Linked DNA regions of Mus musculus. The protein of the gene in region 1 interacts with the protein of each later gene in a pairwise test. Links are inferred from orthologs where the notes say so. Each region holds a gene or a part of one and is shown in the gene's direction. Other genes may lie near its edges. The genes, in order: Stk16, Saxo1, Kctd14, Efemp2, Plscr3, Miip and Trim42.

Region 1 (4,508 bases):
GGATCAGTGTCGGCCAAGTTTTAAAACTGGCCTTGTCGGTAGTTAACCATTTCTCCACTGCGGGATCCGTTTTCCTCTCCCCACACCCAGGCAGACAGTCCGACCCTTTGGGTTTACCTGGGACAGCAGCAGTAGGACCACAAGCCGCAGCAGCAGGGAAGGCAGGTCGGGTGGCATCTTCTGAGCTTACAAAGTTCTTCTATTCGGTGAGGGCTTTCCCACCCGTCACGTGTTGGATTCCTGGGAGGGAATCCGACATCAAGCAAAGGGGCGGAGACCACCTCAACTTTTCAGGCCGTTAACCCGGACTTTGCCTGTAGCCATCCACGGTCCACTAGTTTGTAAAATATTACTTCTCGAAGTGCTGAACCCGAATCAGTTCCATTAGCATCACCTGGGAGCTTGTTAGAAACGCAGAATCTCGGGTCCTACCCCAGACCTCTAGAATTAGAGTCTGTGCTTTAACAAACCTGCTCTTCTAAACTGAACTCTCGGAGGGCTGACAGGGTGTCTTAAATCTTCATGACTAGCAAAGGATCCGGCACATATCAGGTTAAATCTATATGCACGGGAGCAGTAAGGTTAAAACGGATTCAGAAACAGTGGAAAAACCTAGAAAATCTTCAGAGTGATCATGCTGTGGAAAGGGGTTACAAGAAGCCTGTCCTGGTCACTATCTTTTTTGGAGGTACACCCCTTTCCAATATATTCTGCCTGTCTAGGCAAGAGATGTGAAACAAACTGCATAGTTCATAGGCTTAGAAGTCTAATTTTCCACTTCTCCTGCCTTCACAGCCGTAGAAAATACTATTATTTCTGTTTATTGACACACATTGATATACGGCTGTTTCCAAAGTTGTACGAAAGACAACTCATTTAATTTTGAAACAACCCATGAAATAACTCTCATTCTCATCTTACACACGAGGAAAATGAAGGTTAGAAATAACAAGTAGCTGTCCAAAGTCACAACTAGCTCAGTAGAGCTGGGATTGGAACTAGTCAGTTTGGCCTCATAACTCACGACACTTAGCCGTAGGTACTGTCTTACAGCTGGGAAAAGTGAGGATCTGAAAGACTAAATAACTTGCAGGAGGCCACACAGCTAGGAGACTGTTAGGACCAGGTTTAGAAACGGGCACTCTAGTTTAAGGACACAGACACTAGCCAAGGCAGTGGAGTACAGGCTAGACCCCTGAGAGTGTTAAGGGGTCAGACCTCTTGGCATCTAAGGGTCAGCACCCGCCCTTCTCTGGTCCCTCCTCCAAGCTAGATTGTAGAAAGCCACTTTCTAACTCCAGCGCGCGGGAGCTATAAGACCTCCTACCTCTGACATTGGGAGACAGAGGTCCTAGGGGCCTCGGGCAGAGCCCTGCTTTGCTCCCCTTTGGTACTAGTCCCTGCGTCTTGACCCTTACTGAGGGCCAAGTGGGAACCCTCGGCGAGATAGAGAAACCAATACACCCCAGGTCTAGCCGGGCCCCAGCCTCTCACTTCCGGGTCCCCACATCCTCTTGCCGCCTCTTGTTGCTAGGATACAGCGGGCCGTTACTTCGACGCGGACTGATGATGTCATCCGGGCTTCCGGTCCCTGGCCCTTCGCACAGGCCGGAGACCGGTCGGTGTGGAGTTTGTAGTGGCAGACCCTGTGCTCGTTCCCGAGCGACGGAGGGTGGACTCGGCCAGAGGTGGGCTCGAGCCCCGCACCTCCTGCGCCGCCACCCCATGCCTGACGGGTGCGAGAGCTGGACCTGGCCGAAGGTGGGCCGGGGTTGAAAGAAGCGGCCTGGTAAGACGCAGCGTGGCCTGAGGCTTTGGGGTGCCAGAACTCAGCCTTCTTAGCGCTGGAGTCGCCAGGGCCAGTTTTCTTTAGACGTGAATATGGGTTCTTGGAGGTGAGCCTGAGCTCTCCTGGTTGGTACCTCCGTGGCTGTCTAGATTGTTCTTGAACCCGCGACTTGCTGTTTCCATTCCAGCATGACCCGCCGGGACCCCACCGCATCGCCTGGAAGAGCCCACTCTCCCTGGAAGGAAGACCATCCCTGAAGAGGATGACTGAGACGTTATGGGCCACGCACTGTGTGTCTGCTCCCGGGGAACTGTCATCATTGACAATAAGCGTTACCTCTTCGTCCAGAAATTGGGGGAAGGGTGAGTGTTTGGACGTCACTTAGCTAGACCCAGGTCGTTTAGAGACAGTGATAGAGTTGCAAGAGTGTTAGCCTTAGAGTCTACCCCACCTGACCGGTTAGCTGAACGGGTCAAGAAGTGGATTCTAGACTCTGGCCTCCTGGATCTACCTTGTGTGACCTTAAGTCAACTGTGGTTTCTTCTGCTTAAAAGGAGATGATTATAATGTCTCGCTGAGGGACTTGTGGAAACTCAGTGAGATAGTATATTCTTTAAAGCATGTCACCCAGTGCCTGACTCATGAGGACTTGAAATTAATTGAACACATTATGCTCAGACCAAAACCTCAGTGATTTCTGTGCCCCTGCTCTCGGGAAACGCAGATCCTAATGTCTTGAAACTATATGAGAGCTACATCTTGGGAGTGTTTCCACTCTGTGTAAGAGGCACTCCTCCCTAAGGGAATTCCTCTGGGTCCGAGCTATGTGAGAGATGACCATGGTCCTTCACTGTGACCCCTTTGGCCCACAGTGGATTCAGCTATGTGGACCTAGTGGAGGGCTTGCATGATGGACACTTCTACGCCCTGAAGCGGATCCTGTGCCATGAGCAGCAAGACCAGGAAGAAGCCCAACGAGAGGCAGAGATGCATCGCCTCTTCCAGCATCCCAACATCCTTCGCCTCATGGCTTACTCTCTGAAAGAACGAGGTGCTAAGCATGAAGCCTGGCTGCTGCTGCCCTTCTTCAAGGTCAGAGAAGCCTGTACTTACAGAGGGGATTGTAACATTGTGCAACCCCACCAGAGGCTCTGGGCAGGCAAACATAAACATTCTAGGAGCACATGCCCTGGTTTGGCCTTTTGTTTGTTTGTTTGTTTATTTGAGACAGGGTTTCTCTGTATAGCCCTAGCTGTCCTGGAACTCACTCTGTAGACCAGGCTGGCCTCGAACTCAGAAATCCGCCTGCTTCTGCCTCCCAAGTGCTGGGATTAAAGGCATGCGCCACCACTGCCTGGCTAGTTTTGGCCATTCTTAAGTTGGGGCTCAGAGGACTATAGGGTCCCCTGTGAACTTGACATCACACAAAGCCCCCAAAGGATCAGGAAGAGTGGCTATGGTAAAAGGGTGGGCAGACAGATACAAAATAGAGTCCTGGGAAGTAGAGGCTTGAAAAATGTCTCAGCACAGGGAAACTTGTATTGTAGAAAGGTACACTGTGGAATGAGATAGAAAGGCTGAAGGACCAAGGCAGCTTCCTGACTGAAGACCAGATCCTGCCGCTGTTGCTGGGTATCAGCAGAGGCCTTGAGGCTATTCATGCCAAAGGTTATGCACACAGGTCAGTGGGCGGGCCCTATGCATTTGATGAAGCCAGTGGGGAGGGAGCGCAGTGCCAAGAGAATTGGGGTTTCTCTGCACTTTCCATGGTGCTCCCTGGGATACCAGCTTCCCTGCCCAGGGCGCCTTTGGGTCATTTTCACTTCCCTCCAGGGACCTGAAGCCCACCAATATTTTGCTTGGTGATGAGGGGCAGCCAGTTTTAATGGACTTGGGTTCTATGAATCAAGCATGCATTCAAGTGGAGGGCTCTCGCCAGGCACTAGCTCTTCAGGTAAGAGAGTCTCCTGGTTTCTTTGGCCATCTCCTCCCCATCCCCAGATCATTCTGATGCATGCACCAATTTGGTCACATGATATGGCTTGTGCTCCACTTTTGAGCTCTGGGGACACTGTTCCAGGACTGGGCAGCTCAGCGGTGCACCATCTCCTACCGGGCACCTGAACTTTTTTCTGTGCAAAGCCACTGTGTCATCGATGAGCGGACTGATGTCTGGGTGAGGAGCTTGTGGGTGGGAACCTGGGTGGGGAAGGGTGTGGCTTTGTAACTCTTGGAGTACAGGGAAGGAGACCTTTGGTTTCTGTTGCATGGAACCCCAGAACCACAGGATGTCTCCACAACCGTCTACTTCCTTCCTGAGAACCATCACTGATACTGTTCTCAGGAAGCCGTGCAATCGTTGTGGCACTAGCTAAGCAGGGGCCACAGAGGCCTCCCTCCTGCCAACATGGTTCCTCTGGGTGAGGTTGGCATATATTTAGCTTACATGGTCTTCTTTTACCATAGCAATAAGGAGATAGATGACATTTTTCACCTTCCAGGAACTAACCAAATTATGCTCAGTCCCTAGGCTGTGTGCTTTATGCCATGATGTTTGGGGAAGGCCCTTACGATATGGTGTTCCAGAAGGGTGACAGTGTGGCCCTTGCTGTGCAGAATGAACTCAGCATCCCACAAAGCCCCAGGTGAGCAGGAAGAAGAGAGGGACGCCAAGCATTGTAGACTCTTGCTTAGATTTGGCCAATTTGGAATCTTAGCA
Region 2 (4,144 bases), on another chromosome or scaffold:
TCTGATCTCCACATGAGTCTTGGCCCACATGGCTCTCTTTACCCAGAACCTGCGATAAGCAAATGTAAAATAAAATAAAATAAAATAAAATAAATAAAAGCAACAAAAAGAAACAGTAATGTTTAAGTCCAAACATTCTCCTATAGTAGTAGACTGTATGGTATGCTACCGCACTTCTTTTGCTTGCTTTTGAGAAAGGGAGAGCCATGTAGCCCAGAACTTGCCTCCTTGCCCCAGATGCTGGAATTCTAGACTTGTGCTGCCACACCCAGCTCGAGAGCAGAGGCCCTTGACTTTGTTTTATTGTCAGAGTAAGCTGCTATCTTGTGAAAACACAATTCCCAGAATAGTTGTTTTCACTGCTTTGAAATAGAGTGAAGTCTCACTTTGTAGCCCAGGCTGGCCTTGACCTTGCAGCAACCCTCCTGCCTCAGTCTGTGCCGGGATCACAGGCTGAAGCCATCATGTGCTCTGACTGGTGGTTATTTGATACAGGAGATTCCAGGGCAGAGGTCTGCAGTGGTTTTCAGGACCGGCTTAGATATTAGGGAAGAGAGGTCAGAGGCCACAATAGAAGCTCCATAGCTGCGCTCCTTGAAGTGTGGGCTCTGGGCCAGCATCAGTAGCATCATTAAAAACTTGTAAGAGACACGTGTTTTCTGGAACCCATATTTCAGAAACAACAAACTCAGGGTGGGGTCTGGCAATCTGATTTTTGTCAAGCCTTGAGGTTCTGATGCTGCTAACATTTGAGACGTCCCTGCTTCTAGGCGTCATTACCTGAGCAATAGAGGGCTGGACCCTCTCATGCTGCTTTGTTCTCAAAAGCAGAGGCCTGTGGTTGAAAGCAATTCCAAGATGCAGGCAGCCAGGTATAGATTTTCCAGGAAGATCTGGAGATGGAATTCAGGGTCAATATTCTGGAGGTCCGGGCATGCATTTCCTCCAGACGGACAATGTGTCCTAGGGATGGAAAGTGCCACCCGACAAGATACTTTTCATTGTCTTTGCATTATGTGACCGTGCTGTTGGTTAACTCTGGGACTCGGAGGCTTCCTAAAGCCCTCCAAGGTATCTTCCATCTTCCTTCCAAGTTCCAGTGGGAGAGTCCCTGTCTTGGGTCTGCCAGGTGAGATACTAGGTGAAGTCTGACCTCACAGGAGGCCCTTATGATGTCATTGCCACCTCAAGATGCCCTCCTCTGTGACTTTGAAGGTCATAGAGGACTCAGTCCTGGGCCCTGTGGCTTGCAGGGGCCAGGCTGTGCTGGCAGGTGGGTGCTTCCCACTGGCCGCAGTGGCAGCAGCTTACAGACGTGAGCCGGCCTGGCTTGCTGTCTGTGCTAAGTGCTGCCTGTTTGCCCAAGGCCAGCCTCAGGAAAGGAATAGACTACAGAATTTTGCAAAAGGGCCACCTAAGTTTCCTTCTGAGCAAAACAGCATCGGTCAAGGCACCGAAGAAGTGTGATCGTTGTCCCAGGCAGCTGGGATCCTCTAGGCGATTGCCTTAGTGGAAAGTCCGAGGTGAAGGATGGGGAAGAGGACTTGCATCTGCAACCTGTGCTCCTGCGGGTAAGGTAGTCCTCCCAAGGGCAATCTGGGGAGGGGAGCCTGATTTTCACACTCCCTAGGGTGCCAAGCCCCTTTCCTGGAACGAAGACAGGATGTGTCTTCTTCATCCCGCTGCTTCGCTAGGCAGCATCGCACTGGATTCGGGTTTTAAACTGCAACATTGTTGACTAATATTTGATGCACACATGTCGAATCAGCGCTGATCAGGTAGTGTGTGTGTGTGTGTGTGTGTGTGTGTGTGTGTGTGCGCGTGTGTGTTTTCTGCAGGGTAGAGATTCAGGCACTTTGAGAGTGGGCTGGGCCCAGCCTTGTCTACATGCTGTTAAGACATGATGGAAACCCTGGACAGGCTGGGGCCGGTCTTGTTTCTTCTGTTGCAATTGTTAGAACAATAGTTCTTTTGTGTGGGTGAGTTTCTCACTTACAGAAATTGGTACTTTGGGAGCCATAGTGCACGGGCACCAACTGTTGCAGTGTTGAAATAAATAGCTAATCCAGGGGCGAGTTCGCTGTAGTTTTTGGGCAGGATGCCTTTCTGCCCCTTGTCTTCAGGGCCATGATGGTGCAAAGCACAGTGAAGGCAGGGTTTTGGAGAGGAACGTTGGGCTGCGGTCTCTGAGATGGTCCTTCTGGCTGCTTTGCCAGGACAGCTAGGGAACTGCAGGGCTGTGCCAGCCAGGGGATAGCAGAAGGGGCAGTACATAAACTTGCTTCCCAGGCTTCTGGCTAAGACCAAGTGAAAGGAGTGGCCTCGGGGACTAGCCCTCTGGGGTTGTCACTAAATGTGGGATCTGGGCTAGGAACCGAACGTCTCCCCATTCAAATTTCCCTAGGAATACTCTCCTCACAGGACTATTACAAGTGAAGGGATAGGGTGTATGTCTATGCACATGGATTCTATCTATTCTGTTAATACCCTAAGATCTGCAAAGGATTTTACAGCTACATATGTTACATGAAATAACAAAATTATTGTATTTGGGAGAATAGGTTAAGAGGACACTCTGAAAACAGAAGACTTTGAATTCTCAGGAATCAGTGCTCATTAGAGTGGACTGGGAACTTTAAAATAGGTGTCATTGCTCCAGCTGTTCATGAGCAATCTCTAAGGACAGTCCCATCAGCAGACTCCAGATAGATACTGCCATTTCCCAGAATTCTGAGCTCTGCTACCTACAAGTGTGGCTCTTGTTTTCGAGGTTTGTCAGGTGGGACCAGCCAGTGTCCAGGGCTAATTTTTCATACTACCGAACATTCAGTTTGTTTTTTTTTTCTAAGACTTTGCTTCCTTGTGGGGCCTTTTGCATCACTCCTGGCTCCATCTCTGCTCTCAGAAGAGTGGGGTTGAAGTCTTTGAGTCCCATCTTTGCACAGTATGTAGTCTAGGAAGACGGGGACTCATCAGGGGTGAGGAACGTAGAGTCAGATGACACCTCCATTCCTATCTGATGTCCTCAGATTCTCTTTTTCCCCCACCCTGCAAAGTTGCTCCTTCCACTGGATATAAAGTCTTTCTGGCATGCCTTCCTTGCCTCCCCCTCCTGTGTCTACTTTACGGTTCTGTCACGTGCCTTGGGTCTGACTCTCATGTTGGTCAGTCTTCCCTCCTGCCTGCTTAGTCTATTTTAGTTTTTTTTTTTTTCCTGTGATTTTGATGGGGCATCTCAGAGTTCAAAGCAAACTTTTTGGTCTCCACTCATGGTTCCTTTGTCTTGCTTTTTTCCCCTTTTTGAAAATGCGTCTACCTTCTTCTGCCTCCTAACCTTTTAAGATCTTGCTCATGTTATAAGACTCCCGTCTGGCTCAGTCCTATAGACCCCACCTAGTACAGAGGTAGGACCCCACTTCCTATGGTCTTTTAGCTATGTGTATGCCAGCTTCATATCTAGTGATGGTGTGCTCTGGAACAGCCAAGCTCTGTTTTTGTATGCTTTGTGATACTGACCTGTTGAGTAGTCAGAACACACCTTTGTAGGATGGTGGTGGGATCTGTGGAGTCCGTTAGGGACATACAATCTGGAGTGGTGCTGTCTCCAGTGCTTGCCACATGATGCCATTTTACTTCAGTGAATTACAATTGAGGGCTTCCCCAACTTCCTCCAGCCACTTGAGGGCTGGAGAACTATTTTAGTAGCTAAGAGCATTGTCTGCTCTTCCAAAAGACCCCGGATCAGCCTGGCCTGGGACACACTGTGTATAACTGGGAACTTCTGTTTCTTCTGTTTCCATTTCCCAAGTCCTGGGATTAGAGGCCCATATTACTATTCCCAGCGTTTCTTTGGCTTTTGAGTTTTGTTATGTAGTCCAGGTTAGCCTTCAACTCATGATTCTCCTGCTTCAGCCCTGCTGCTGCCAGGATTGTAGGCATGTGTCACCATGGCTAGCTCCTTAAATATGATCTCACCTGTAGTACATGATACTCATCAGTGGGGGAAGGCCTCTATTTTTGGACATCAGTGGGAAGAGCAGCCCTTGGTCCTGTGGGAGTTTGATGCCCCAGTGTAGGGGAATGCCAGGACTGGAAAGCGGGAGTGAGTGGGTAGGTGGGGGAGCACCCTCATAGAGGCAGGGGA
Region 3 (4,261 bases), on another chromosome or scaffold:
TCAAGGCCAGCCTGGTCTACAGAGTGAATTCCCAGACAGCCAGGGCTACACAGAGAATGCCGATAAATGCAGATACAAACTTGCACGAGGATGGTTTGCTATACTCGTTATGGTTTTCACCAGCAGATCCCCACTACATGACTGCTGTAATACTATTCTATTTTTCTTTTTATTATTTTTAACTGTGCGTGTTTATGGAGCAGCATGTATATGTGTATGTACATGTGCATGTGTATGTATGTGTGTAGAGGCTAGAAGACAACTCAGGTGTCATCCTGTCTGTCTTTACACAGGGTCTCTTCTTGGTCTGGAGTTCATCAATTAGACTAGACTGGCAGGCAGGCAGGCCCCAGGGATCCTTCTGTATCTATTTCCCCAGCTCTGGGATTACAAATTGTACCACTATACTGAGTTGTTGATTTTGGCTTTTGCTGTCTTGTATTGTCTTGTTTGTTTATTGTTTGCTTGTTTGGTTTTGTTTTGTTTCTGTTTTTCTTTTGAGATAGGATCTGGCTGGCCTGGAACTCGTTATGCAGAATAGGCTGGCTTCTGTCTCATAGGGATCCCCTGCCTCTACCTCCTTGGTGTTGGGATTAAAGGCATGCACCACCACACTCAGCCATAGTGAGTATTTTTAATGGCTCTACTGAGACACCTCTCCAGGCTTACTTTTTTCTTGTCTCTTTCTTCTCGTGTTGTTGGGAACAAGCAAAAGAAATTTATTTTAAGTACTACCATTTCACTTTCAGACTCTTTTAATCAAAGGGAGAAAAATAAATTCAAGGTCCCAGGCCTTAGGGCAGCTGGGGACTTCCCAATGGCTGAACATCTTCTGTTATACACAGTTGTCTGAGTCCACACATCTCAGGGACAACCTGTCCATCTTGCTGGCAGGTCAAACAAGTTCATGCTCCCAGGCCTAGGAATGAACACCTATCCCACTTCTGTTTTCTCAATTGTCTATTACCTGGTAAAGAATACAGAAAGTGCATACATTCTATAACTGCATAAACAATTGCCTGTTCTGCCCTAATTGACTACGTGCAGCCAAGCAGCTCCTTTTCCCTTATCAGTCTGGGCTCCGGACCTAATGTTTAGGAGAGTGAATCAAGGACCTTGAAGCCAGGTGCTTGGATGCAGCCCAGTCTCTGATGGCTACTCCCTTGTTTAACCCACAATGTCACACACAACTAGATAACACTGCACCCCCCCCCAGCCCCCATTTGCTTTGTGTTCCCATCCTTTAAAGATGGTGTACAATCCCTCTTCTCAGACATGTTTCAGATCCAGAACTGGCCACCTCCTTGAGTGCTCAGAAAACAAAGCTTTCATTTTTAAGCTTCCATATCTGAAATGAGTTTTCTCAACTTTTACCCTGAACCCAACAGTGTATCCCAAGCTGGCCTAAAATTTGCTATGTAGCCAAGAATAAGGATGATGTTGAACTCTGACTATCTTCTCTTCCTGCCTCTACCTCCCAAGTGCTGGAATTACAGGTATGTGTGCATGTGGGGTGTGCATGTGCCTGTGGGTGGGTGGATGGGGCTAAAAGAGGGCATCAGCTTCCCTGGAGCTGGAGTTAGCAGGTAGTTGTGAAGATCCTGATGTGAGCGCTGGGAACCAGACTCTCCTCCTCTGAAAGAGCAGCAAGCACTCTTAACTGCTGAGCCATATCTCCAGCCCCCATCTCTCTTTTTAACACATAACATTGCATGGCACAGACAGACTGTGATTTAGTCAACTGTTAACTATCTAATTTTGCTAACACAAACAGATCAGTGGCAAATACATTCACCCACATACCCTTCAGAACGGTGCTTTTTGTTATCTCTGTCGGATGGAGTCCCAAAAGTAGGGTTCTTTCCCCCACCCCTTTGGTAGAGATGGCCAATTAATGTCTAAAGGTCACAGCAGTTCATATTCCAATCAGCAAGGTTTGAGCACCTGTTTTCCTTCATCCCCACAAGTTCAGGCATTTTGTTCTTCTATTTTCCAATTTTCTTGCCTAAGAATAGTATACATATACACCGTTGCTCCTTCAAGGGCGTTTCCTGAGTTCCTTCTCAACTGCACTTATGATTTATTTCGGCTACTTGAGCTTTTCATTTTTGTGGGTCTATTTGACTTTTAAAAATCTCCGTGGTCTTTTTAAAAATTCGTACGTCCTTGTTCTTTACTCATGTCTAAGTCACTCTTTGGTTTTTGTTTTGTAGCTGTGTGGATGGGACTCCGGGCCTGGTGCACGCTAGGCAAGCGCTCCACCACTTAGCCGTGCCTGCAGCCCAGTGTGCTCAGGTTTTAGATGCTTGCTTTTATTTGTTTAATGACATTAAGTAAGCTCCCACTGTATCCCAACAGTCTCAGCACTAAGGGGCCCCCACAGGTTTCTGTTGACTTTTCCCCCTCTGCCTTGTTTCCTTTTGTGCTTTGTGGTTTTGAGCTGTGGGTTTGTTTGATGAACTGCTTGCTATCTGTGTACATTCTTTGAAACTTGGTTTAATTATACTTCCATTCAGGGAAGGTTTTGTTGTCCCCTTCTTTCCTTCCTTTCCTCTTTCCTAGTGGGGTGCCTGTATGTGTGTGTTTTGCTGGGGGTCAAACCCAGATGTCATACATCCTAAGGGAGTGTGCTACCACTGAGCTATAGCTCTGCTTCAGTTTTTATTTTTCTTTGCCAAGTATTAATTTGACTACCTAGTCAGTTTCATTTTTGTTAAATTTCTGGTGGTCGTCCCTGCTGCTGACCACACTGAGCCATAGATCCATCGGGGTTCTCCCCTGTAGCGTAAGTATTTTTAAAGAAGTCTTTTCTAGCACAGAACTAAGGAATAAAACAGACAAGTTTCACAACATCTATCTTTGAGTGGCAGATGGTTTTCTTCCAATTTACTATTTTATAGTCTCTGGTCTGACATCCTACCCTCAGAGAGCCCCAGGATTCGTCTCCTAGTTCCCCGTTTCTGAGAAATTACAGGTTACTTGAAGTTGATGGCTGCCCAAAGAACCAATGGGGTCCGTGCTGGATGTCTCAGAACATGTCCTTAAGTCTTTAATCCAGCTAAATGAGCACTAACTAGAAGAGTTTTACCAAAGAGGCCAAGTGGGAGGTACAGACTTAGAGTTCCTCAGGGGCGGGGTGTCAGGAACCTCTCCGGCTGGTAAGTTATCTACACGTGGCAGGACTGTTCCCTGCCCATAAGTTATCCACTCAAGACAGCGTTGTGTACCCAACGAGAGCTGAGAGCCGTCTTTTCCTGCCAGGATGAGCCTGCCCGCAAACCAGATCAAGGAGCCCGGCAAGCAGTCTCAGCCCGCAAAATCGCTCAAGGAACCCAGTCAGGAGGCTCTGCCTGTAAACCTACTCAAGGAGTCCAGCCAGGAGTCCCGGATCCTGTGCCCTGACCCGGCCATCGTAAGTGCACCCCTGCGTGGCCGCTGCTCTGGTTGTCCTGAACACCCCACCTCCAACCCCTGCCGGCGCTTTCCTAGCTCCATTCCATTATCTGCCCCCTATCCTCTATTAGTCCCGCACACACCCCCAATCGACACCCTCCCCCGCCCCGCCCCTCCACGCTCTTCTCCGGAGTTTTCTCTTTTGTGCCTGTTAGTAAACTTCTTTGCTACTTGTGCATTCCCGCCTCTGGCTCCACCTAGCTCTGTGCAGTCTCTCATTTGCCCTTTTCTCCCCTGCTCTCTGTCTGCACTTAGTCTGCTTTAGTTCCTGCGTGTGTTCCTCTGAAAACCTCTAGCTTGGTGTAGTCCCGGAGGTGGAGGGTGGGGGAGGTGGCTCCTTCGGTCAGTCCAGTGGCTCTGCCACCTGGTAGAGGTAGCATATCCAGCCTGCCTGGACAGATGATTTTCTCTGACTCCCACACTGGCCAGCTCCAGCACTCCCTCTCTGCTTACTGGCCTTCTCTCACGGACTCCCTGGACTTTGGGAGAAGGAAGAAAGACTAAGGGAAGGTGATGAGGCCAACACTGGAGATTTTCTCAAAGCTGTGCTAGACCCCAAGAAGGAAGTGTGATGAAGACTATACATGTCCATACAGGAAGACACAAACTCGGTTTTAGTTCATTGAACACACACTCAAAATATCTAAATACTCCAGTCATGCCCAAGATTTGGCTCAGTAGCAGAGGCAACTTGCTAGCCTTGGGAGGACCTGGACTTGATCCCTAGCAACTGCCCAAAAACCAGGAACAACAAAGAACAATAATCCAACAAATAACGATAATAATTCTTTAACTTGAACTCCACCAC
Region 4 (2,549 bases), on another chromosome or scaffold:
GGTGAGTTCTGAGTGGCTCTGCTAGGTTCTTGTTCTGTGACCTTGGTCTGGCTCCTGGTCTGATGCCTTACCTCACCCCAGTCCTCTGCTACTAGTGCACTCCTGTCACTAGACACGGAAGATTAAATGTGGGTGACTCAGCCCAGCTCGCTGACGAGGGCGGGCAGGGGTGGTTGCCGAGGTGAGCCAACTCAGGCCCCACCTGGCCTGTGTTCTACTTTCCCTCCCCCACCTCCATCTCAGACATAGATGAGTGTCGTTACCGCTATTGCCAGCATCGATGTGTGAACCTGCCGGGCTCTTTTCGATGCCAGTGTGAGCCAGGCTTCCAGTTGGGACCTAACAACCGCTCTTGTGTGGGTGAGGCTGTGCCAGACAAGGTTCTGGGATCCTGGGTGGAGATGTGTGACGTGGGGGCAGGATCTTCTTCTTGAGCCCAAGTTGAGTGTGTGTGTGTGTTTGGGGGGGTCTGGGCGTGACACTGCTCTCACCCTCCTGTTTGTCCTCGCACCCTCAGATGTGAATGAGTGTGACATGGGAGCCCCATGTGAGCAGCGCTGCTTCAACTCCTATGGGACCTTCCTGTGTCGCTGTAACCAGGGCTATGAGCTGCACCGGGATGGCTTCTCCTGCAGCGGTGAGAGTCACTTGTGCTACTGGATACAGCATCCCCCCCCCCCCCGCCTCCCCCCCCTCTGCCGCCTCCCTTAGCACTTGCAACATATTGGAGCAACTCCAGGCGCATGGTCATTTGCTTGGGGCTTCCGCACGTCTCCTTGCACTCACAGGCCTCCCTAAGCTCCGTCTTGAGCTTGTCGTTTGGCACTCCCAGCTTGAGGGGATGCTATGCTAGGGGCTTCTGAAGCTTGCCAGAGAGACAGAGAAGATGGAGGTGCCAGTCTTCCTGAAAGTTGAGTTGACTTGCATTGGAATCCTACACTGGGGAAAGTTTTCTCTTCTTTCTGGGCACATGTCTACTGCAGACAGGTTATTTGAGTATTAGGGGCAGTGATAACAGGCTTCATCAAGTCTCAGGCAGAAATAGTGGGAAGCACCATTTGTTTATCACTTAAAATTTTCAGTCTCATTTAGTCTGGCCAGGGATGATTGACTTTTGTAAAACAGGACATTAATATTCCTCCAGGTTGGCAGAACTGTGGAAAGCAAGCAGAGAGGTCAGAGAAAGTACTGACTTTCATCTTTCCACTTACTGAGATTGACATGACTGTCCAAGTTCAGAGGGGAAAGATGAGCCGGGCTGGGGTGTGAGCCCAGGCGTCTCACTGTGTTACCTGGCATGCCCTCATTTACTTTATGCTTTACCGGGAAGCACAGGATCATTGGTGTTCGGCTGTGTGAAAGGAACAAAAGCAAAGAGATAGGATGCTGCTCGGGGTAGGGTGGGGGGCACACACTTAGCCCAAGTCTGGGCATTCTGACCGCATATTGCAAGACTTGAAAAGAACAGAGCGGCTATCCCCTTGGGGCACCTGCTCATTTGACTGGCACAATGTGGACCCTTTCTAAAATGGGTTAGTAGGACTTAGGCCCAAGCCTCTAGATTCTTGCTGCTTTTTAAGACAGAGTCTATGTAACCCCGGCTGTTATAAAGCTCTCTGTGTAGACCAGGCTAGTCTACAGAGATCTGTTGGGTAGTGCTAGAATCAAAGGCACAGGCCACTATGTTAGGCGAATGCTTTGTTAAGTCTTAAAGTCCTGGGGAAGAGAGGTGCTCCGCATGCTGGAAGATTCCTTGTTGTAAGACAGGGTCTCACTGTGTAGCCCTGGCTGGCCTGCAGTCTCTTATGTAGTAGACCAGGCTGCCTCAAACCGATCTGCCTGCTTCTGCCTCTGCCTCCCAGATGTTGGGATCAAACACCCCACTGTTTGTTTTTCAAGGCATGGTCTTGTTATGTAGCCCTGGCTGGCCTTGATCTTGATATAATCCTGGCTTGGCTTCCTATGTGGACCAGGCTGGCCTTTAACTTGGTATAATCCACCTGCCTCTACCTCCCAAATGCTGGGATTATAGACATATAGCACCATGCCAAGCTTCAAACCTTTCTATTCTTTTTCTTTTCTTTTTCCTCTCCCTTTCCTTGCTGGGATGGAACCTAGAGCTTCAAGCGTGTTAGGCAAGTACTCTACCACTGAGTTATCCCCAGCCCCCAACCTTCCTCTGAAACCTGAGCCCCCCTTGAGCACTGTGGGTCTCCTTCTTTCCTTCTCTCTTCCCACATCCATCCTTATGGGGGTGCTGGGCTCCCTCTCTCTTGGTCAAGGTCTGTGGGACTCAGTTGTGAGGCCTCCCCTTGGCCCAGGGTCCTCATCCCCGCCCTCCCTCAGATATCGATGAGTGCGGCTACTCCAGTTACCTCTGCCAGTACCGCTGTGTCAACGAGCCAGGCCGATTCTCCTGTCACTGCCCACAAGGCTACCAGCTGCTGGCTACAAGGCTCTGCCAAGGTACAGGTGCTTGGGTGGGCAGGAGTTGAGCGGCTGGGAGCTTACTGTGAGTCCTAGAGTCCAACTCCACCTCCCTTGGCACA
Region 5 (4,269 bases), on another chromosome or scaffold:
CATTGGAAATGTAAACGAGAAAAATACCTAATAAAAAAGAAAGAAAGAAAAAAAAAGAATGCAGACCTCAGCAGTGGAAACATGGCCCTTGTTGGTAAGACCACCCATTGCTCTGTGCTCAACCTTACACTGAAGTGGGCTTATTTGGCATTTGGGGACAGTTAAAGCTTCCTTCCGCTCATTTGCTGGGTTTTCAGCACTAGTAAGAAGTACCCCCAAAGGAACGGGATCTTAGAGGTGAAAGGTCAACAGAGAGACCAAGATATATGAAGCCAGGGATTGCACGGGCAGGCAGTAAATGACATAGCACAGCAAGGCAAGGGGGAGGAGGGGTCTGTGCTGTGCAGAAGGGTCTCAGAGGCCTAGCATGACTCAACTTGCAATTTTCTCCTTACATCCTATCTCTGAGGCATAATGAAGTCATGTTCCCTCATATACACATCAACACTGCCTCACTGCCCTGGTCTCTGGTGCAATCCACCACAGTAGGACCAGATTTCTGTAAGAACCTCTCCCTTACCTTGGCCTGCCCACAGCCTCCTGGGTTGTTCTGACACAGTAGTTCTCAGTTTAGGCTGTACAATAAAAACTAGAATTCTAAGAATCCCTAGTCTGCACCCCAAGCACTAATATACAATTGATAGGAAGTTAAGACCCAGGCACAAGTGATGGGCTAGTTTCGGCTTTGTTTCTTTAATATCTCCCCTAGTGACCCAGGTCACTCCCAAGCTGACCTGGAACTCGCGATCCTCCACACCTGCCCAGATACTATGCTATCTTCTTTTGAGGAAAGGAGTCTTTTGAGAGAGTCTCCCTATTGTAGCCCTGACTTGGTCTGGAACTATGTAAAACAGACTGGCCTCATACTTGTGACTCTCCTCTTGCCTCTCCTTTCCCAAACGCTGGGATTGCATGTTTTGCCTCCATACTGGGGAATGGAGGGCCTGTTCTGTTCAAGTGTCTTTCCCTGAGCCTTACCTCATGCACATTCATTACTGTTACCTTTTGAAAGTCTGTCACGCGTGTAATGGGCGTGCCTGAACTGAGAGGTGACTGAGTGGGTCAACGCTGTGACAGGGGGAGAACACAGCGAGGTCGCCCTGAGAAGAACACCGAGCCAAGTCTGGGAGGCAAGGAATGAGTGTGAATGGTGTTCCGCTGCGTCAGCGAGGCCCGCCCCGCCCTTGGGAGGAGGATCCCGGGGACCGGAGCAGCCACGCGGTGGGGAGGCAGAGCAGCAACCCGCGGAAAAGGCGAGGGTCTTGCTGCTGGGGATAGGGCCGCAATCACCCTCCAACAGGCCAGGTCTCCAAGCCTCTGCAGTCGGAGCGGAAGGGGCGGAACCACGGTGAACAAAGCGCACAAGGTCCAAGGTCCGCGGCCCCGGGGGAGGAGAAGCGCCTGCTTTCTGCGCAGTCGCCCCGCCCGGACTGGGGGGCGGGACTTAGGCGACCCGGGGGTGGGGTCAGATCTGGGCCCGCCTCCACCAGCGCCTGTGAGCCCCGGAGTGCGTGGCCCCCCGACTTATTCTGGGGGCTTCAGGTGAGCCGGACCATAGAGGGGTTAAGGAGACTTTCCTCGGGGTCAGGTCATCTGTCTGACCTCAGGACCATCTGCCCTGCCGTCTGCCAACAGCCATCTCCGTAGAAAAAATGGGAGAACAAAGGGAGGGGGCGGTCCTGGGGCCCCTAAGAAAATTCAGGGTCCTAGGTACCCCGCCCCGCCCGCTGACACTTTCGGTTTCTCCCCGAGTCTTAGGTGCCGCCCTAGAGACCCTGGGCCCGTACTGGGCGCAGCTACCTCTTCGCCTCTGCCTGTCCGTCTTTGTTTCTGTGTCTGTCTAGCTGTTCCCGAGCTTGTCCCACTCCAGAACTAAGTCTCCCCTACGCCAAAAGCCCAAGACTCCCCTCCTGATTCCCATGGCAGGTACGTTGACGCTAGGTTGGGGTCTCCATTATTCCCCCCTGCCCCCACGAAATTGGGTGCCGGGTGTCGAACACATTCTCCAGGAATGTGCTCAGACTGGCTGCGTGGGGCCCTCCCTTCCTCCTGGGGAGCCACCGCCCTGCCCCTCCGCCCCATCATTCTCTGCCTCTTCTTACGTTTTCCGCGGGTGCTCCTGGTCCTTGGGCTGTGAAAGAAGAGTCCACAGATAACTTTCTAATCTACTCCTGCTCCCCTACAGGCTACTTGCCCCCCAAAGGCTATGCCCCTTCACCCCCACCTCCCTACCCCGTGCCATCTGGGTATCCAGAGCCGGTGGCTCTGCATCCTGGACCGGGACAAGCTCCAGTGCCCACCCAGGTGCCTGCCCCTGCTCCCGGCTTCGCTCTCTTCCCCTCGCCAGGCCCAGTGGCTCCAGGGCCTCCTGCTCCTTTCGTGCCATTGCCAGGGGTGCCTCCTGGCCTCGAATTCCTAGTGCAGGTGAGTGAGAGAGAGGATGGCTGGGAGGAGAACTGAAGTTCGAGGTGACGGATAAGGTCAACGCTGCTCTTAACTCTTTACAGATTGATCAAATCTTGATTCATCAGAAGGCTGAACGAGTGGAAAGTGAGTAGGAGATGGATGGAGCAAGATGGGCTTCATGATCTTTATGGCAGTGGTTAGCTTCTGGGCAGGTGGCCCCCGAGCCTCAGCGTGTTGCCCTTCCCAGCGTTCCTAGGCTGGGAGACCTGTAATATGTATGAACTTCGCTCCGGAACCGGACAGCAACTGGGTCAGGCAGCTGAAGAGAGCAACTGTTGTGCCCGCCTGTGCTGTGGTGCCCGCCGACCATTTCGAATCCGCCTAGCGGACCCTGGGGACCGCGAGGTGCTCCGGCTCCTCCGCCCACTTCATTGTGGCTGCAGCTGCTGCCCCTGTGGTCTTCAGGAGGTGGGCATGGCAGGTTTTGGGGTGGTTGGTGGGCAGTGTATGGTAAGCAGCGCAGAAAGAGTTGTGGCTTTAATAGGAGTGGGGGCGGTTTAGTTGAGGGTCTGAACAGTCAGAAGACAGCTGGCACCAGTGAAGAGCGCTGGCCAAGGTGTCCTGGCTTGACAGTAATCCTGTCTGCTTCCCTTTCCAGATGGAAGTCCAGGCTCCACCTGGCACCACCATTGGCCATGTGCTACAGACCTGGCATCCCTTCCTTCCTAAGTTTTCCATCCTGGATGCTGATCGCCAACCTGTTCTACGAGTTGTAGGGCCTTGCTGGACTTGTGGCTGTGGTACAGACACCAACTTTGAGGTATTATGAATTAGGGGGCGGTGATTTCTAGGCTCTTCACAAACCAAGATTGGGGGCGATGAGCTGGCTCAGAGGGTGAAGGTACTTGCCACCAAGTTTGACAACCTGGGCCCTAGCCATGAGTCCCATATTGTAGAAGACAGTTCCTGCAAACTGTCCTCCCCACACACATGCCATGGTGCACGCAATCAATCAACCAAGCAATCATTCAATCAGTCAATGTAATTAGAAAAACAAGAAGAAAAGGCAGTAGCCTCCGTGCTAACGGATGACTTAAGGTCAAGACCTGTCTGAAACCAAAAATGTCTTCTTCAGTCCAAGACTGCATGTTCCCTACAGCCCTGCAGGGCCTTAGGGAGCATCTGAGGCCAGCCTGCATCTAAAGTGGAGGACTGTTATCTCCCAGTCTTCCACTGCATACATTTGCCATGGGCTCGACCCAGGTAGCCCCTGTGCTTATCTGTAAGCATAGACCCTTTCATAATTTAACCCTTGGCTTGGCCTGGAAACCTAGAAGTCCAAATGACCCATCTAACCAGAAGTCCAGGTGATGTCCTTCTCCCAGAGACTTCCTCTCACCAACCCAGGACCAGAGGAACCCAGCTGGTAAAGACTCCAGAGTGAGGGTTGGGAGACTCTCTGGCTCCTAGCACTGCTCGGACTCTTGAGTTCTTTAAGGGATGAGTCCCCATTCTGATAAGGGAGAAACAACAGGTTTCATCCAGTAGAGGTGCTTCACCTAAGGTTGCCTTTTAAAAAGTGAGTCACCTTAGTAGTCAGAGGCAGTTTTTGTGGCCGAGAACCGGTTGGAGAGGAGATAATTGTGTGATCTCCGCGATGGGAATGTGTACGCTATGGGGTTCTCAGGGAGTCAGTGTCCCTTTCACACAATCCTGAATGGTCCATGCGTGAGGCACACTCTCAGGACTGCAGAGTTGGCAGCAGTAGACTTTGCTGAGCCCGGGACTAGGCTGCAGGAAGTTCCCTGCAGCTGCAGGAAGAGGCAGGAAGAGGATGAACAGGAGGTAGAAGGAAATTACTTC
Region 6 (4,344 bases), on another chromosome or scaffold:
CAGCCACGCTCCCCACTGTTATGTCCTTTATACAGAGGAGGCTAAATACAAAGCTCTTCCAAGTCTCTCTAGTTTCCCGGACAAAAGTTATCCTCATAGCTCTCGTGATGGGTACATCTTCCGGGCCCCTCCACTGTGGACAAGTAGCTTTTACACAAAGCCACTCTATCATTCCAAGTTCCCTAAGCCTTTCAATCCCATCCTCAATAGAATACCACTCCAGGGTGTCAGGCGACTGCAGCTCTCTTGTAGTAGGCCATCTCTGGACCCATGCTTCAGCCAACCAATCAAACAAACTCTTCACACCATTATCTTCAACAGTGCGGGCTATGACATTAAACTCACTATCAAGGCTCAAAGGACCTAAACTGAGAAATTCAATCTGATCCAGTATTGTGAGCCTCCCACCATTATCCCACACCCTTAAAATCCATTTCCTAGCATGTTCCTTTGCCTTTTGGCGATTTGAGTGAGCAAGTGAATTGAGTTCATGATTAGTATGGCGGTGTTTCTGACTTGTAAGGTCAGACAGAGACTTGGGTCTGGTGACAGGTTCAGAAGTAACTAAGGATGTTGAAGACTGGATCTGAGGGGCATCTGCTTTGTCCTGCTGGGTGCGTTCTTTAGACAAGGCATAACCACTTTCCTCAGACAAGGATGGAGAGGCCAAGACAGTGGGCAACTCAGCTTCCTCAGACCCTTCAGAATCTATGTCCTCCCACACATCTCCATCCCAGGTTACCGGATCCCATTCTTTACCAATCAGTGCCCTCACCTTATCTGCAGACACTTTCCGGGCAGGCTGACACATGACCTGGGATTGCACATCAGCTAACCTCACAATGAGGGCTTCAGTCTGTTTTTCCCCAACTTCAATCCTGTGGCGGTAGGAAAGAAGAGTCTCCCCCAGGACACACTTAGAAGCCTTTAGATCATTTATGTGCATTCGGAGCTGGGAAATTTCATCTCTGAATTGGTCCCTTTCCTTTGTTACTTTATCCAGAAATGCCAGAAGCAGCTCGCCAACTGCGTCATAGTCCCTAATCTTGCAGAAATGTTCAAAAGTATGGTACACAGAGTCATTAAGTTCCTTACCGCTCGAAAAGGATGAATCGGGGAGATCGGCCACATTTATCTTCTGCAGCAGCTCACGCCATGGGTTAACAGTGTCATTATCCGGAGAGTCATTATCCGGAGAGTCCTCGGCAAGTTCAGGTTTGAAGAGCCAGCTCGAGAAACCAGCAAGCGCACGTGGGAAATTCATCTTCAGACTTTTGTTTCCCTAGAACTCGGCTACTGCGTCCTACAAGCCTCGGATCCAAATTCCAGTTCGTCCCTGGCAAAAGCACTCTGGGGAGTTGCTAGTGTGGGGTCCGCGTGAAAAGGTCAAAGTTGCCGGAGTCTCTAGCCCCACCTATCCACTGCCATTAGAGACTTTACATCCGGAAATTGCGTAACCGAGTACTACTGACCAACCAGAGCCTGTCCTCAATTTGAATTGGTAGAATTAGCATTAACAGTTAACCAATCAGCAATGAGGTCCCATTAGCCCCTCCTTTCCATATTGAAACTGCCGCTTCCGGATGCGAAGAAACAAATATAAGGCGTCCTGGCACTGTCAATTGGCCGAGCAGGACAGCGGCGGAGGCCCCGCCCCAGCCTTAGCCAATTAGGACAACCACTGGAGGTTCCGCCCCTGCTGGAGGCGGATTCCCCGGCTGCTGGGAATCTGGGCTTTCGGGCGGAGAGCGTTGGCGTCCTTTTATCCATGGCAGCCGCTGATCTCGGGACCACAGAGGCGTGCCTTCGTCCCGCTAGACCGGTAGAGAAGGGGCAAGCGCCTAGGCCCCGGTGTGCACCCTGCCTGAGTGCGCGTGAGTGAGATGCTGGGGTCTTCTCTGCTCGCCCCCTGCAGCCTGCTCCGAAACCCAAGTCTCCAGGGGCCTGTAGGGTGGCAGGGCTGGGAAGGATAGGGGGGTCTGATTCGGCTGGAGGAGTCTGGGCTGGGGTTGTAAGAGAAGTGGGAAGTGCTTCTTTATATTGCAGACATCTCTTCCAGAAGCAAAAGAAAGTGTCTGGAGAGACGGCTCAGTGCTCTTAACCACTGAGTTCAATTCCCAGCAACCACATGGTGGCTCACAACCATCAGTAATGGAATCCTACGCCTTCTTCTGGTGTGTCCGAACAAATAAATAAATCTTTGAGAAAGAGAGAGAGAGAGAGAGAGAGAGAGAGAGAGAGCCCCTGAGTATAATTTTTGAGGACCAAAGCTGGCCGGAGAAGGGGTGGGGGTGGGGTTTGTGTCCCAGTCAGGGCCATGCTTTCCTCCGTGCAGACCCTTCATAGGGAGTCATGTGTCAACAAAGGTTTATTTGCCCCAGAGCACAGCCAACAGAACAGAGAAACGATTCCACCCAAGTGTGGCTGGGTGAACCAAGGAGTGTACGTATTGGGGTCATGACCCAAAGGCAGCTACATCACTGACAGTCCCACCGAGCACGGGTTCTGATCCACCCCCGCGCAGCTTTCAGGCAGCTCCATCTGAGAATGCTCTCCCCTGGACATAGTTTAAATCAACCTTGTGGAGGGAGCTCTAGGAATTTGCAGCCTTCTGAAGAGATTCTCTCCTCCCACCATCAGGGAGAAGTTTGAAAGTCAGGGGAAGTAGCCACTGCACAACAAGCAGGAACCTACATTTTGGTTCAAACCCTGCTTTTGACATTTAGTAGCTGTGTGACCTTGGGATATACATGCAAATTAAAGAAAGGAAGAAAGAAAGAAAGAAAAGCAAAGAAATGAATTGACCAGGAGAAGACTTGTGGCAGAGAAAAAGGCTTAATGCTTCCAGTTCTGGGTTCAGTGCCAGCTCCAGATAGTATGAGACCCCGACTTAGAGCGTTTCTCCCTGGAAGGTAAAGCCCCTAGACGTTCCCCAAGCTTGTTTTCCCTGATCTCTAAAAATGCAGCCAGAAAAAAGCTCTTTGTTCTCTATAGCCAGCAAAAAGCCTTTTTGTTTCTATACTTTACAACCAGAGATGCCTACCTTCCTGTGCCAATGACACGGAGATAAAAATTCAGAAAGAACTCACTCCCCACTCCTGCCTTGTAAATTTCACCAAGGACACCCGGAAGAGAACTCCTCCCAACTCTTCCTAACTCCTCCCAACTCTCCTCCCAACTCCTCCCAACTCTTCCTAACTCCTCCTAACTCTTCCTAACTCCTCCCAACTCTCCTCCCAACTCCTCCCAACTCTTCCTAACTCCTCCCAACTCTCCTCCCAACTCTTCCTAACTCCTATCAACTCTCCTCCCAACTCCTCCCAATTCCTCAGCTAGCTGTTAAAAGCCCCCTAACTGTCACCACTCAGGGTCGAACTCCCCTGCCCTGCACAATAGCACAAGTCATTAAGCTTTAAATTAGCATGCTGCACTAGTCTTTTCTATATGATAAAGGAGTCAGATTAATATTAAAAATAAGTTCTTATATGTGTGGGTATAGGGCAAGCACATGCCCTGACCCATGAATGTATGGAGGTAAGAAGACAATTCATGAGAGTCAGTTCTCTCTACTCTGTAGGCCCTGGGAATTGAACTCAGATCGTCAAGCTTGGCAGCAAGCACCTTTATCTATTGAGACGTCTCACAGGCCCCAGGAATTAGATTACATAGGGAAGGCCCAGTGGGAGTTGTCGTCTCTTGGCAGGCAAGGAAGCAGAGAGGATAATAAGTAAACAGGGTGAGGCTGCAGGGTGATGATCTTAATCTAGGCCTGTGTGGCAGGGTTCCTCCCTCATTTTTCTTGTCATTGCTGTTTTGACTTCAGGTGGAACCTAGGGTCAGCACCTCTGCAGCCCAGAGACAGTGACATTACTGTGAGAAGCCCGCATGCCCAATATGGCAGAGACTAAAGACCCCGTTCGGCTTCGGCTGCTTAGCCTGGAGCTCCTGAAGCAGCTTTGGGCTGGGCACGAAGCCATGTGTCGGTCGGTGGTGAGAGCAGCATCAGGGGTAGGTGGCTAAACTTGGTAATGCCCAGGTGTCGAGGAAAGACAGTTTATGCTGTGATGCACCCATTTCATTGACGGTGCAAAACTGAGGCCTTGGGAGGAAGGGACTGGGTTGGGATACCCCAAAGCCACAGCAGGGTAAATTACAAGGTCCACAGCAAGCCAGAGTGCCTGGGCATTGGCTGGGCTGCTGCCTGGGTAACCTGACCTGTTTCTTACAGTCAAACTTGGATTGTAGCAGCAACAACTTAGAGATGCCACTGTCCCAAGAGACTTCTTCCGCTTCCTCAGTGGCCCCCAGCTCACAGGACAAAAGACACATGTTGGACCCACTGGA
Region 7 (3,717 bases), on another chromosome or scaffold:
GTACATTACGACCATGAAAGTGAACGAAATGGATGGCCTGATTGCTTACTCCAAAGAAGCCCTGAAGGAAACAGGACAGGTGGCCTTCCTGCAGTCTGCCAAGATCCTGGTAGACCAGATTGAGGAGGGCATCCAGAATACCTTCAGGCCCGACCCTCAGCTGCGGCTTCACTCCCTACACTGTATCCCCTTGGATTTTGCTGAACTCTCCAATGCCATCCACGAGCTCTTTCCCACGGGACCCAAAAAGGCTTGCTCCTCTGGGGACTCACTCCCTTCCCAGTATCCTATCCACTCAGAAATGATGATCGCCAGGAAGGTGACATTCAGCACCCATAGCTTCGGCAACCAGCAGATATACCAGCGGAGCTCTTCCTTGATATCCTTCAACACCGCCAATGACAAGGGCAAGATGGGTCTGGAGAACTACGGGAGAGCCCAGTCTGCCGCGCCCGCCAAGACGACTGACGGCCTTTACACCTACTGGAGTGCCACAGGGGAAACCCAGCCCCCGCAGAGCAGTAACAGCTTCCACAACTGGTATTCCTTCAACGACACCTCTGTGAGGACCCCAGGCCCAATTGTCATCTACCAGACACTGGTGTACCCAAGAGCTGCCAAGGTATGACAAAGGGAAGGGTGAAGTACAGGGCAAAGAATAAAAGAGAGAGGTCAGAGAAGGTTGCCTATACTGCTTTGGCCTCTAGAATGTGGTCACTTGAGTCTACTCCTCTAGACTCTTTATAGTCAACCTAGTCAGTAGGGTAGGGTCCTGAAATGTCAATTAATCCAGTCAGTGTATTGAGAACATAATGATAAGTGCGTGTAAATCCCAACCCTACTTGATGGGCAGCCTTTCTATTGAAAGAAACACAGGCTAGGAAGAAGGCTCAGTGGGCAAGAGGCTTGTTGTGCAAGCATGAAGAACTGAATTTGCATCTCCATCACACATGTCAAAGCCTGGTGTATATCTGTGCTTCCAGTGCTGGGGTGGCAAAGGCAGGGGGTCCAGGGTCTTCATGATTGGCAGGGGATCCAGGGTCTTCATGATTGGCAGGGGATCCAGGGTCTTCATGATTGGCAGGGGATCCAGGGTCTTCATGATTGGCAGGGGGATCCAGGGTCTTCATGATTGGCAGGGGGATCCAGGGTCTTCATGATTGGCAGGGGGATCCAGGGTCTTCATGATTGGCAGGGGATCCAGGGTCTTCATGATTGGCAGGGGGATCCAGGGTCTTCATGATTGGCAGGGGGATCCAGGGTCTTCATGATTGGCAGGGGGATCCAGGGTCTTCATGATTGGCAGGGGGATCCAGGGTCTTCATGATTGGCTAGTCCAGTGGAAACAGTGAACTCCAGCTAGATGACAGGCCCTGCCTCAGGGTTAGGTAGGTAAGTAGACAGACAGACAGACAGATTTATAGATAGTAGAATATGGGAGAGAGAAGACAGTAGAAGACAGTGTCGATTCCTGGTCTTTACAACACCAGAAGGAAGGAAGGAAGGAAGGAAGGAAGGAAGGAAGGAAGGAAGGAAGGAAGGAGGGAGGGAGGGAGGGAGGGAGGGAGGGAGGGAGGGAAGGAAGGAAGGAAGGAAGGAAGGAAGGAAGGAAGGAAGGAAGGAAGGAAGGAAGGAAGGAAGGAAGGAAGGGAAAAGAAGCCAAAAAGAAGAATCAAGTTGGAATTAAAGTTTCAAACTGGCTTGGGAGGTCATGGAAGTATGGGGAAGAGTCCAGGACTGAATTAGGTGAGCAGTCTCTGCTGTCTGCCAGCTGTGTGTTCCTTTAAACTGTTATTTCTCTTAGATCCAGGCTCCCTGGGGTTTGAAAAGATTCAGATGACCATCCCAGAACCATTCCAGTTCTCTGCTGAGATCCATCTTCTGTCTTAGGGGTGATATGGAAAGTGGAGTGTCTTACAGGTCTCCATGCCTGCATCACCTGTGACAGCACAGGCTACTGGCCATCTTAACCTAACACTGAACAAATACTCTTTGCCTTACTGTCTCTCTGAAATCCAGCTGAGCCTGAATTGAATTGCCTATGGAGTATGTTATTTAAACTCCAAGAGGCAAAAGGGTTGCTGGGCAACTGGAGTTTCTGGCCTCTTTTGAGGTTCCTGCATGGACACACCTCCCAAATTACTTCGTGGTCTGCTTCCATATGGCACGGCTCATCTTTTATCCCTTTCTCAAAGACAGTAGGCATCTTGAAATGTGAACTAGTGGTTCCAAGCACTACCATCTCCTGCAGACTTGTTAGAAGGTAGATTCTTTGTCGTTGGATTTCCAGGCCTGAGAGTCTAGCTCTCACAAGCTGCCAGGTATTGCCAATGCTGCTGTCTGCAGACTGCACTTCAGTAGGTAGGGTCTAAACACAAATGAAGATCGGACAGAGACCAGGTTTTACCTTCTCCCTCTGTGAGACATTGTAATGCTTCAGAGGATAAACTAGTACCACAAGAAATGTGCCAGGTAGAACAGCACCCTCCTGGAGACCATCAAATACAGCATGGTGCCCCTCCCTGTCCTTCACACAGAAATGGGGTACGGGTGACATCAGTGAACTCTGGCCACGCTGTATCTCATCTCATTGACACCCCCTGCCTCTCAGAGAGTCCACAGCCCCTGTTCTGAAGCAGAAGGGCTGGTGGGGTCTGCTCCGTACTTGGACTTGGAGAAGTCACATGCGCTGCATAAGAGTTATCCTTGGATAAGTTTGAGAGAAGGACACCTTCTGAGACAACCAAGCAAGTCACTGCCACTTCACCTACGGCCTGACAGTGATCTAATGTAAAATGATGACGATGATGATGATGTAGAAAATCCCTGTTCCAGGGTCGTAAAATGGGCCTTTTCCAGGATTCATTGTGCTCTACAATGAAAATAATTTAAGTCTATGTAGACAAGACTCCTAAATTTTCAGAGCTTCAGTATGGAAAATGTTCAAGTTGGTCTTAGAAGATTATTAGTATGTATTCCAAAACTCTAGAAATCTTTTGATTCAATTTGAATTTTAGAAATAATTTCTTAAGAACTGTCCTCCTCAAAAAAAAAAAAAAAAAAAAAAGGATTTATGCCCCAAAAATATTTGTTCCAGCATTTATCTGAGTACAAAAGCAGAAAAATCTAACTGCTCGACTGTAGAAAGGGTCAGTTATTTTAGAAACAGTGTTTTATATAGTTCCATTACATTTATTCATTTTATCTCTGTGTGCATGTGTGTGTGTGCGTGTGTGTGTGTGTGTGTGTGTGTGTGTGTGTGTATGTGTGTGTGTGAGAGAAAGAGAGAGAGGAGAGAGAGAGAGAGGAGAGAGGAGAGAGAGAGAGAGAGAGAGAGAGAGAGAGAGATGCCAGAGCATACATGTGGAGGTCAGAGGACAACTTTGAGAGTACCAGTTCTCTTCTTCCACTGTGGGGCTCCTGGGAATCAAACTCCAGGTTGTTGTCGGGCTTAGCAGCAAGCACCTTTACTCTCTGAGCCATCTTGCTGGCCTCTATGGGCAGTTTTTTTGACTGTATAAGACAGATGAACTGTAAGTTAAGAGAATAAAGCAGAGCCTTGCAATCCCAATCCCTGCATGAGTGTGCTTGCATCTCCCCCGGCAGGAGAAAGACTTACAGGAATCAATGTGTGGATTAGGGGAGATGTTTATTTTCTTCCCTTATACTTCTGTATTTCCAAAGCATGTTACCATAAATGTTCTTCTTGTTTTGATC

What was found.
Region 2: the proteins of Stk16 (region 1) and Saxo1 interact in binary tests that used the Homo sapiens proteins (3 or more experiments, as listed by UniProt). The two-hybrid records come from large-scale screens. The link is inferred for Mus musculus from reciprocal best matches to the Homo sapiens genes STK16 and SAXO1.
Region 3: the proteins of Stk16 (region 1) and Kctd14 interact in binary tests that used the Homo sapiens proteins (3 or more experiments, as listed by UniProt). The link is inferred for Mus musculus from reciprocal best matches to the Homo sapiens genes STK16 and KCTD14.
Region 4: the proteins of Stk16 (region 1) and Efemp2 interact in binary tests that used the Homo sapiens proteins (3 or more experiments, as listed by UniProt). The two-hybrid records come from large-scale screens. The link is inferred for Mus musculus from reciprocal best matches to the Homo sapiens genes STK16 and EFEMP2.
Region 5: the proteins of Stk16 (region 1) and Plscr3 interact in binary tests that used the Homo sapiens proteins (3 or more experiments, as listed by UniProt). The two-hybrid records come from large-scale screens. The link is inferred for Mus musculus from reciprocal best matches to the Homo sapiens genes STK16 and PLSCR3.
Region 6: the proteins of Stk16 (region 1) and Miip interact in binary tests that used the Homo sapiens proteins (3 or more experiments, as listed by UniProt). The two-hybrid records come from large-scale screens. The link is inferred for Mus musculus from reciprocal best matches to the Homo sapiens genes STK16 and MIIP.
Region 7: the proteins of Stk16 (region 1) and Trim42 interact in binary tests that used the Homo sapiens proteins (3 or more experiments, as listed by UniProt). The two-hybrid records come from large-scale screens. The link is inferred for Mus musculus from reciprocal best matches to the Homo sapiens genes STK16 and TRIM42.

Annotation. Positions count from the first base shown.
Region 1 is NC_000067.6:75,209,264-75,213,771, forward strand, and holds the start of Stk16 (serine/threonine-protein kinase 16), read left to right. Parts: upstream 1-1,565; 5' UTR 1,566-1,789; exon of another isoform or gene 1,790-1,895; intron 1,896-1,976; 5' UTR 1,977-2,065; coding exon 2,066-2,151; intron 2,152-2,661; coding exon 2,662-2,881; intron 2,882-3,336; coding exon 3,337-3,470; intron 3,471-3,622; coding exon 3,623-3,743; intron 3,744-3,849; exon of another isoform or gene 3,850-3,869; coding exon 3,870-3,965; intron 3,966-4,312; coding exon 4,313-4,434; intron 4,435-4,508. Other genes in the region: Glb1l (beta-galactosidase-1-like protein precursor), read right to left, coding at 118-177. UniProt on the Homo sapiens protein: Membrane-associated protein kinase that phosphorylates on serine and threonine residues. In vitro substrates include DRG1, ENO1 and EIF4EBP1. Also autophosphorylates. May be involved in secretory vesicle trafficking or intracellular signaling.
Region 2 is NC_000070.6:86,555,402-86,559,545, reverse strand, and holds the start of Saxo1 (stabilizer of axonemal microtubules 1), read left to right. Parts: upstream 1-1,242; 5' UTR 1,243-1,530; coding exon 1,531-1,571; intron 1,572-4,144. UniProt on the Homo sapiens protein: May play a role in the regulation of cilium length. Stabilizes microtubules at low temperature.
Region 3 is NC_000073.6:97,450,051-97,454,311, forward strand, and holds the start of Kctd14 (BTB/POZ domain-containing protein KCTD14), read left to right. Parts: upstream 1-1,283; 5' UTR 1,284-1,434; coding exon 1,435-1,496; intron 1,497-3,069; exon of another isoform or gene 3,070-3,261; coding exon 3,262-3,412; intron 3,413-4,261.
Region 4 is NC_000085.6:5,477,684-5,480,232, forward strand, and holds part of Efemp2 (EGF-containing fibulin-like extracellular matrix protein 2 isoform 1 precursor), read left to right. Parts: coding exon 1-1; intron 2-243; coding exon 244-360; intron 361-517; coding exon 518-637; intron 638-2,118; exon of another isoform or gene 2,119-2,135; intron 2,136-2,346; coding exon 2,347-2,466; intron 2,467-2,549. UniProt on the Homo sapiens protein: Plays a crucial role in elastic fiber formation in tissue, and in the formation of ultrastructural connections between elastic laminae and smooth muscle cells in the aorta, therefore participates in terminal differentiation and maturation of smooth muscle cell (SMC) and in the mechanical properties and wall integrity maintenance of the aorta.
Region 5 is NC_000077.6:69,845,150-69,849,418, forward strand, and holds the start of Plscr3 (phospholipid scramblase 3), read left to right. Parts: upstream 1-1,467; 5' UTR 1,468-1,542; exon of another isoform or gene 1,543-1,758; 5' UTR 1,759-1,919; coding exon 1,920-1,926; intron 1,927-2,185; coding exon 2,186-2,424; intron 2,425-2,507; coding exon 2,508-2,550; intron 2,551-2,653; coding exon 2,654-2,874; intron 2,875-3,064; coding exon 3,065-3,226; intron 3,227-4,269. UniProt on the Homo sapiens protein: Catalyzes calcium-induced ATP-independent rapid bidirectional and non-specific movement of the phospholipids (lipid scrambling or lipid flip-flop) between the inner and outer membrane of the mitochondria.
Region 6 is NC_000070.6:147,865,899-147,870,242, reverse strand, and holds the start of Miip (migration and invasion-inhibitory protein), read left to right. Parts: upstream 1-1,523; 5' UTR 1,524-1,874; intron 1,875-3,823; 5' UTR 3,824-3,885; coding exon 3,886-4,008; intron 4,009-4,228; coding exon 4,229-4,344. Other genes in the region: Fv1 (Friend virus susceptibility protein 1), read right to left, coding at 1-1,264.
Region 7 is NC_000075.6:97,359,791-97,363,507, reverse strand, and holds part of Trim42 (tripartite motif-containing protein 42), read left to right. Parts: coding exon 1-622; intron 623-3,717.